Callithrix jacchus: one gene and its partner. The protein of the gene in region 1 purifies or fractionates together with the protein of each later gene. This does not show direct contact. Links are inferred from orthologs where the notes say so. Each region holds a gene or a part of one and is shown on either strand. Other genes may lie near its edges.

Region 1 (3,945 bases):
TAATTTGAGACTCAGCCCCCAGGCTTTTTTGTAAGTTTTGTTTTATGTGAAAGTAAATTTTTCTTTCCCCACTTCTATTTAGGATACGGTAAAGAACATATTTAGTGGAGTGTTGGGTCTTCTCCCCCCCCCCCCCTTCTTTGAGATGGTGTCTGGCCTCCTTCCTCAGACTGGAGTGCAGTGGTGAGATCTTGGCTCACTGCAACCTTGGCCTCCAGCCATCCTCTCACCTTAGCCTCCTGAGTAGCTGAACTACAAGGGTGTGCACCATTATGGATAATTTTGTGTTTTTTTTTTTTTTTTTTGGTTTGGAGAGGGGTTGCTATGTTGCCCTGACTGGTCTTGAGCTCGTGGGCTCAAGCAAGCTGCCTGCCTCAGTTTCTCAAATTGCTGGGATTACAGGCTTGAGGCCAAGATTGCAGTGAGCCAAGATCACAGCACTGCACTCCAGTCTGAGGAAGTCTGAAAAGCCAGCTAAGTACATGGTTTTAGAAAGATACGGTAATTCGTAGGTAGACGTAATAGAAACTTTTATCTTTTGGGCTAGTAAGAGGAGGTGCTCTTTTACTTCCCTTAAGCCCACTATTAGTCTAGTTTTGCAATCGTTAGCCAAAATGTACGTGCAGTATTTCAAGATACTTTGAAAAGGTAACCTTAAGATAGTTTTAAGGGAAAACTGAGGCATTACAGGTATTGTCAGAGTATAGACATGGTGTTGTCCATTTGGCTGGGTAGGCACCTCAGCCATCAAATGTTTACCAAGGGTATGTATTCAGCCCTTGAGGCTATTTTATTTTAGAGGGATCTCACTGAATGTTTCACATACAAACGTGTATTTTTGAAAAGTTATAAATGGGTGTGAGAGACAGTTAAGAATGTCATTAAAAATATTAAGTGATTACTTAAAGGCTTATTTTATAATAGGTGGCAATTTTGGAGGTAGCCCTGGTTATGGAGGAGGAAGAGGAGGATATGGTGGTGGAGGACCTGGATATGGCAACCAGGGTGGGGGCTACGGAGGTGGTTATGACAACTATGGAGGAGGTAATAAATTCACAGGCAATTATCTGGGAATTTATAAGATCCTTTATTTGGGGAATTGGGGGTGGAATCAATGGTTTTGTAACACTTGATCTTTTATTTCAATATTTGTCACTGGAGGCCCTTAAAAGTTAAAGATAAGTGTTTGGTTTTATTTGTTTTTGTGGGAGCTTTGGCCTGAATAGTCAGTATGTATCATTGGTTTAATGTTTGTATTGTTCTGAGGTCCATTATGTCAGTATTTCAATTTATTTATAGGAAATTATGGCAGTGGAAATTACAATGATTTTGGAAATTATAACCAGCAACCTTCTAACTACGGTCCAATGAAGAGTGGAAACTTTGGTGGTAGCAGGAACATGGGGGGACCATATGGTGGAGGTAATTTATAACTAAAAATTGAGATTGTTCAGGTTTTTGTGATTAAAGGTTTAGCCTTTCGTGATTTAAAGGGAAGATACCATACTAAGTAGTTCGTATTTGGACAGTGCTCTATATGCGGTCTTAATGCATAAGTCTCCAGAAATACTTTAGCAAGCAATTAATATCAAATTGTGGTGGAAGTGGGGATGTTGAGAAGTTGAAAGAATTTCCGGTAGGGGCTCATAAACAGCCAAGTAAAAATACAACCAGCATTGCAATGGGTATAAATTTGGTATGAGGGTCTTTGAAGTTAAATACTTCCAACTGTGATTCAAACCATTGCTTAGTTTATTCTTGAGGTTTTTAGCAGGACTATACATTTTGTGTTGTGCTTGATGTACTTTAAAAAAATCTTAGTCCAAATGATGGTGAGAGGACCAACCCTTTATTGAAAAGAATAGTGTCAGCCACAAAATTAAAACCTGAGTAATTGATCTCCCAAGTAATACTGCTAACTGGCTGCAGAAGTTAGGATCTGCTTGTTTTAAAGATTTGATAGATATAAAATAGAATCAACTGTAGTAGGCTGATCATGGGAAATCTAAGTTTGTTTTCTCTCTCTGTTCCAACAATTCTAGGAAACTATGGTCCAGGAGGCAGTGGAGGAAGTGGGGGTTATGGTGGGAGGAGCCGATATTGAGCTTCTTCCTCTTTGCCATGGGTAAGTAGCTTTTGAGTTTTACAATTATTATTATCTTGGGAGATCTAGCTGCAGGAGTAAAAGCTTTTTAGGATCATGTTATCTTTCCTTAAAATCTGGTTAGATGGATAATTTCATAACCTATTTTTTTTTTACTCTTTACTTCTGTTGAAACAGGCTTCACTGTATAAATAGGAGAGGATGAGAGCCCAGAGGTAACAGAACAGCTTCAGGTTATCGAAATAACAATGTTAAGGAAACTCTTATCTCAGTCATGCATAAATATGCAGTGATATGGCAGAAGACACCAGAGCAGATGCAGAGAGCCATTTTGTGAATGGATTGGATTATTTAATAACATTACCTTACTGTGGAGGAAGGATTGTAAAAAAAAAAAAATGCCTTTGAGACAGTTTCTTAGCTTTTTAATTGTTGTTTCTTTCTAGTGGTCTTTGTAAGAGTGTAGAAGCATTCCTTCTTTGATAATGTTAAATTTGTAAGTTTCAGGTGACATGTGAAACCTTTTTTAAGATTTTTCTCAAAGTTTTGAAAAGCTATTAGCCAGGATCATGGTGTAATAAGACATAACGTTTTTCCTTTAAAAAAATTTAAGTGCGTGTGTAGAGTTAAGAAGCTGTTGTACATTTATGATTTAATAAAATAATTCTAAAGGAAATTGTGTAATTATAGACTTTTTATTTTAAATAAGTTAAGGAGTGGGTAGTATAATTAAGGTTCGTTGCAAAGCTGTTGTTATATTTGTGTAAGATAAATGCTGGTCAGATGTAAGTGTGTTGTCTGCAATTCATCAGGATTAAATTATGTAGATAACTTAAGGGATATCTCTGCAAGGAGAAACACCTTTTTAGATCTTTTAGATGCTGCTTCTTCAATGCAAGGAAAGGAAATAACCCCAGCGAGGTACTCTTCAGGGACACAGGTCTAGTACAAGAGAACTCTTGACGGCTACTAAGTTCAGCCAGTCTTAAAAAACTGTGCTGTTTCTACAAAACTTTAACTACAGTAGTTTATAAGGATGCCAACGAAAGCTGAGGGTGTAGAGCAAAATAGTTCTAAGCTTCAGTTAAACTTCTTTAGGTAAGATCTTATTTACTTTTCCTTTCTTAATTTTCCTCCCTAAAAGATAAACTAATATTCTTCAATGGTCTTTCAGTATAGTGGTTCTTACGTAGTTTAACATAGCTATAAATTGAGTTTAACAATTTATAAACTCAAGAGAATTTTTATAAACCCTGTTTTCCAATCTGTCATTTACTTAAATTATTTTGGTTGTTCCCTTTTTTTCCTCCTTTCCCTCCCCTCCCCCTCCATGTGAAGATTCAGGTGCTTAACATATCATTTTTTTCCCTGCTGGAATTTTAGCATTGATATGAGCCATGGACAAGTATATTCTGCTGCCACAAAGACTGTAAAGTGCTTCATTTCAACAGCTGAGGCAAGCCAAGTGATCATTAATAAAGCTTTTCTTGGTTCCTTCAGTGGTGTTGGTAGTAAAATGGTAGGTAAAAGTTAGGCTGCAAGTTGAATAAATATGAGATTTCCCATCGTTACACCCTTGTGTATTCACATTTCTTGTATCAAACATTTTGAGTGAACTTAGGGGTTTTTATTAAAGACATTTGTTCTATTTATGGTTCTAGCTGTACATGCTTATCAGGATGAGACTGAAAGAAGGTAGCGTCAAAATGGTTGAATCTATTTTCAGATAATAGTTCATACTTGAGTGAAGTGTCTGTCTACGTTATGAAGCCTGTATGTATCCAGTACTAAATAGGTGGGTTAAATATGGTAATTCTAGTTCAGTGTCTTACCCTGAAGAG
Region 2 (4,910 bases), on another chromosome or scaffold:
TACCTATTCCATGTCCCCCACGCCAAAAATTACATTAACTTGTGAAGACTATAATGACCACGGTATCACCAACTCCTAGAATGCCAATTAAAAAAGAAATCTCATTCCCAAGGGGATCTATTTCCAACCCATCAACATCCAATATTCAAAGCAGTTACAGAATGAATTTCTCTTTTGAGTCCTTGTTACTCATGTCTCCATCACAAATCTTTTATCAATTTCTCAGAATACTATCAAGTCTGTACTTTGTGACTTTATGGCAAACATACTTCGTTGTGAGTTGTTTTGGTCTGGTGCATTTGTCAGTTTTACTTTACCAGCAGCGACATTACGGTTTCTCATTCAAATCCAAATTGCAGGCCCAATACTAACCTGAAAGGGAATCAGTGTTACCAAGCTAAAATGCTCCAAGCTGCACAGCTGCAGCCAAACCCAGTGTTGCCCCCTGCAAGGTGGCTTCCAGTGTACTTGGTTCTTGTTTTACAGGTCGTTTTCCATTACCAACGCTAAATTCAGATAGTAAGTCAACACTACAAACGTCTTACCAAAAGCTGTCAATTTCATCCAAATAGAATTTCATCAGTCTAAACTAATTTCTTTTCCCCAGTCTAATGCTGCGAACAAGAACATTCTGATAGAAAATACTCAGGAAAACTGTGTACTGGAAAAAAATTTACACAGGCAAGAAAACTTCCCTGGGCTTCAGCGTCTTCAACTGTATAGAGAGCCATATCAAGAACTAGACTAGCAAACACATCTCAATTACCAAATCTTGATTAGGAAAACCGAAATTAAGACGTGACACTTTAACTTTCCGAAGCAGAATGCTCATTTTCAAGGAAACACCGAAACTGTAAACAAGAGGTTACACTTCAAGATATTCCAAAACATTACAATTTGTCTAATCACTCGGGAGATTTTTCTCAAGATTCAAGAAGAAATCCCATCTATGCCAATTTATCCTTTCCAAAAGATACCCAGACAGGGAGCAGTGGCTCACGCCTGTAATCCCAAGCACTTCTGGGAGGCCGAGGCAGCCGATCATTTCAGGTCAGGAGTTCGAGACCGGCCTGTCCAATATGGTGAAACCCCCGTCTCTACTAAAAATACAAAAAGATGGCCGGGCGTGGTGGTTCACGCCTGTAATCCACGCACTTTGGAGGCCAAGGCGGGCGGATCACCTGAGATCGGGAATTCAAGACCAGCCCAACCAACATGTTGAAACCCCGTCTTAAAAAAGAAAAAGAGTACAGTAAGTTAGCCAGGCATAGTGACACACGCCTGTAATCCCACCTATTCCGGAGCCTGCGGCAAGGAGAATCGCTTCAACCCGAATCGCAGTGAGCCGAAAACGGAAAAAAAAAGAAGAGCTGGTGTTCAAAGGCAGGTAAAGAAAACAAGTCTACCAGATCGGCAGCACTCCAAGAAACAGGAAGGCGGCGGGGCTTTCGAAATTTCCATTGCGTAACAGCGGTCGGCGGGGCGCGAACAGCACAGCGGGAACTGCAGTCATCCGCGCCACGCCAGGGGGCGCCCCGAGTCCCGCCCGGCCCGCCCCAGCCCGGCTGCCCGCCAGCCCGCCCGCCAGCCCGCCCGCCCAGGCCTCGAACTCGAACTCCCGCGTTCTAGTGGTAACTCACCAGAAAAAAACCTCTGCACTTCATCGGCCGAGCAAGACCAGGGCAACCCCCGGACCTTCACCACGAATCCCTCTCCACCTTCGGTGCCCAACATCATTGTCTCTTACGCGGTCCGACGTCGAAACAAACTGCAAGGCGGGGAGGAGGACCAGACCTGAGAGCGCCCATTAAGCTGTGCTCCGCCCCCGATGTACCCCCCCGGGCCCGCGCCACCCGCCCTACGGAGCAAAAACCGGGCGGATGCACCCACCCCGGCGACTCCAACACCCAACACTTCCTCGGCCAGCGAGCGGACCCCCAAAGCTGCTCTGGGGAGCAGCTGTCGGCGCTCCGAACCCTGGGGGCGGGGGTCGAGAGCCAGCGTGGAGACAAGGAAATGGCGGCGGCCGCTTCCGCTCCGCCTCCTCCGACTTCTCACACAATAGAGTCCGCGCGGCCTGCAGGCCTCGGCGGCGGTGCTGGGATTCAGCGAACAACTTTCGGTTCTCGATGGCTGCCCGCAGCTAGCCAAGATCCCCGCAGCCCTCCCAGAGGTCGGGAGGAAAACAATCCTAGCAAAAACGGACCCCACAGCGGGGGTCGCTGGACAGCTAGGGAGGACCGACCGCAACTCACCCTGACACCCAACTCCAGCGTGGGTAAGACGAAATGGCCAACAGGCGCTTGCGCAACCTAAATAAGGCCCTTTGTGCGAGCTCTGCGCACGCGCAGCCAGCTGCTCGCCCCGCCCCCTTGCGTCACAAAGAGCTCTGACGCATGCGTAACTTCAAGAATCAGCCTACCTCCGGTTGGTAGATTATTACACGCCTGCGTTTTGGACTCAGCACCCCCACCCATTAACCCGCCGGGCTTTTTATTGCGCCTGCGCTTGATCGCGAATATTGAACTTGGAGCCTCAGCGGTTTATAATTGTTTCTTGCGCATGCGTCTTCCTTGAAACCGTTCTCTAGCGTTACCCGCCAACGTGGGGGAGGGGAATGGCGCCGCCAGTTCCCTATGGGGCTGTATAGGAGTCCCGACCTCTGGGTTGTGATGAGGTGGGCGTCTTTCTACCCCTTACCCCCAGTCTTACCGGGGCGCTCCTGGCCGACCTGAAAGGAGGAGCGCGGCCTTCGGGTGTTCCCACTCCCCGCGCCGCCTGTCTCCCCTTTATCCCAAAGCTGGCCGGAGCTGATCAGCTGCAGATTGCCGAGCGTCTTGGGAACTATAGGGCTGCGGACGTCCAGCACCCGAAGCCTCCCGGATGGTGCCTGGGGCACGCCCCAGCCGTGTGTGCCTCCACTTCCCCTTACCTGCCGTCGTCGGGCCTAGGGCGCTGGTCGGCGCGGGGTTCCCGTGCCTGTGGCTCGCGCCTGTACCCCGCTTTTGCCTAACGAACTTGCATCCTTTGTACCTCTTGACCCACCTCCGGGTCGGCGGGCCTGGAACGCCCTGGGGCCCTGGCACGAGGACGGGTCGCCGGGTACTGCCTCGCGAGCGCGATCTCCTCTACGGGTGCGTGCCGGCCTCTGTGCTGGGATAGGCTCCGGCTGAATCATCCCAGCGCTGAATTGGTAACAGTGCGTGATTCCCCAGGTGGAGACCCTGCATTCGAGGCCCCTGGGTCACCCGGTGTGCACATAGGCTGCGAGATGAGTAATGTTCGTGGTTTCTAGCAGCACTGCCCAAAACCGAAGACTCCAGAGCTTCCCAGGCCTCCCTCTGTCTAATCTGGCTGCCCTCTTCACCCCAGCTCTCGTGGACACAGGCAATAAATTAACCATAAGGTAGTGTTGGACCCTGCCGCAGGGCTAACTCAGGTAGTGCAGGCCTGAGTGCCACCCTCGGAAGATTCGGGCAAAGCATGTTTCCAAACCCAGTGCCACAGAGGCCGAATCCAGTTTTGACAGGTTTGAGGAAAGTAGAGAGGACATCCAAAGAAACACAGGAGCCCAGAGCTAAGGAGGGCCTGATCTTCAAAGGCCACTTCGGCCTTGGCAAGGGTGTTAACTGCAAGTCCTGTATAAAGGAAAAGTCTTGCTGGATGTGAGGGAGACGCAAATAGAGAGCAGGCAGAGGGAATGATGGTACATGCCATGCACTCTGCTGCAAACAGAACTAGAAGCACATACCTGTGGTACCATTTCAGAAGGCACTGTGGCTGAGGTCATCAGAAAGAGAGACTCCCACCAGGTGCAGTGGCTCAGACCCGTAATCCCAGCACTTTGGGAGGCTGAGGCAGGTGAATCACTTGAGGTCAGGAGTTGGAGACCATCCCGGCCAACATGGTGAAACCCTACCTCTACTAAAGATAACAAAAATCAGCCAGGTGTGGTGGCATGTGCCTGTAATCCCAGCTACTCAGGAGGGCTAGGCAGGAGAATTGCCTGAACCCAGGAAGCAGAGGAAGCGGTGAGCAGAGATCACACCACTGCCCTCCAGCCTGGGCAACAAAGCAAGACTCCAACTCAAAGAAAACAAAACAAAAATTAGCCAGGCATGGTGGCGCTTGCATGTAATCCCAGCTACTTTGGAGGCTGAGGCAGGAGAATTGCTTAAACCCAGGAGGCAGAGGTTGCAGAGAGCTGAGGTCACGCCATTGCACTCCAGCCTGGGCAACAAGAATGAAACTCCATCTCAAAAAAAAAAAAAATACTAGTGAGGTAGAATAAATTTCATACATTTATAGCCAATTCTCTTTTACATAAATTGTCCAACTTACGTAAAAAAGGTTTTTTAATTTTTATTTTTATTTTCCTTTTTTTTTTTTTCTGAGACATGGCCTCACTCCGTCACCCAGACTGGAGTGCAGTAGTGCAAACATGGCTCACCACAACCTCTACCTCCTGGGTTCAAATGATCCTCCTGCCCCAACCTCCTGAGTAGGTAGACCACAGGCATGTGCCACCTTGCTCAGATAACTTTTTTATTTTTTTGTAGCAATGGCATCTTACATTGTTGCCCAGGCTGGTCTTGAACTCTTGGGCTCAAGGAATCATCCCACCTCAGCCTCCCAAAGAAACGTACTAGGATTACAGGTGAGAGCCACCATGTTTGGTCATGAAAGAAGGTTTTTTTGTTTGGTTTTGTTTTTGAGACAGTCTCACTCCGTCATCACCCAGGCTGGAGTGCAGTGGTGCAATCTTGCCTCACTGCAACCTCTGCCTCCCAGGTTCAACCAATTCTCGCGCCTCAGCCTCCCAAGTAGAAGTATTACACGTTTGCCACCACACCTTGCTACTTTTTAAAAGTTTTTAGTCCAGATGGGGTTTCACCATGTTGGCCAAGCTG

What was found.
Region 2: the proteins of HNRNPA2B1 (region 1) and HNRNPH1 purify together in Homo sapiens (affinity purification with mass spectrometry; 5 studies listed by BioGRID and IntAct, with this or other methods). This does not show direct contact. The link is inferred for Callithrix jacchus from reciprocal best matches to the Homo sapiens genes HNRNPA2B1 and HNRNPH1.

The regions. Positions count from the first base shown.
Region 1 is NC_133512.1:31,908,063-31,912,007, forward strand, and holds the end of HNRNPA2B1 (heterogeneous nuclear ribonucleoproteins A2/B1), read left to right. Parts: intron 1-924; coding exon 925-1,044; intron 1,045-1,299; coding exon 1,300-1,422; intron 1,423-2,042; coding exon 2,043-2,104; 3' UTR 2,105-2,125; intron 2,126-2,281; 3' UTR 2,282-2,780; downstream 2,781-3,945. UniProt on the Homo sapiens protein: Heterogeneous nuclear ribonucleoprotein (hnRNP) that associates with nascent pre-mRNAs, packaging them into hnRNP particles.
Region 2 is NC_133503.1:72,027,338-72,032,247, reverse strand, and holds the start of HNRNPH1 (heterogeneous nuclear ribonucleoprotein H), read right to left. Parts: upstream 3,133-4,910; 5' UTR 3,046-3,132; exon of another isoform or gene 2,933-3,045; intron 2,295-2,932; exon of another isoform or gene 1,891-2,294; intron 1,769-1,890; 5' UTR 1,738-1,768; coding exon 1,641-1,737; intron 1-1,640. UniProt on the Homo sapiens protein: This protein is a component of the heterogeneous nuclear ribonucleoprotein (hnRNP) complexes which provide the substrate for the processing events that pre-mRNAs undergo before becoming functional, translatable mRNAs in the cytoplasm.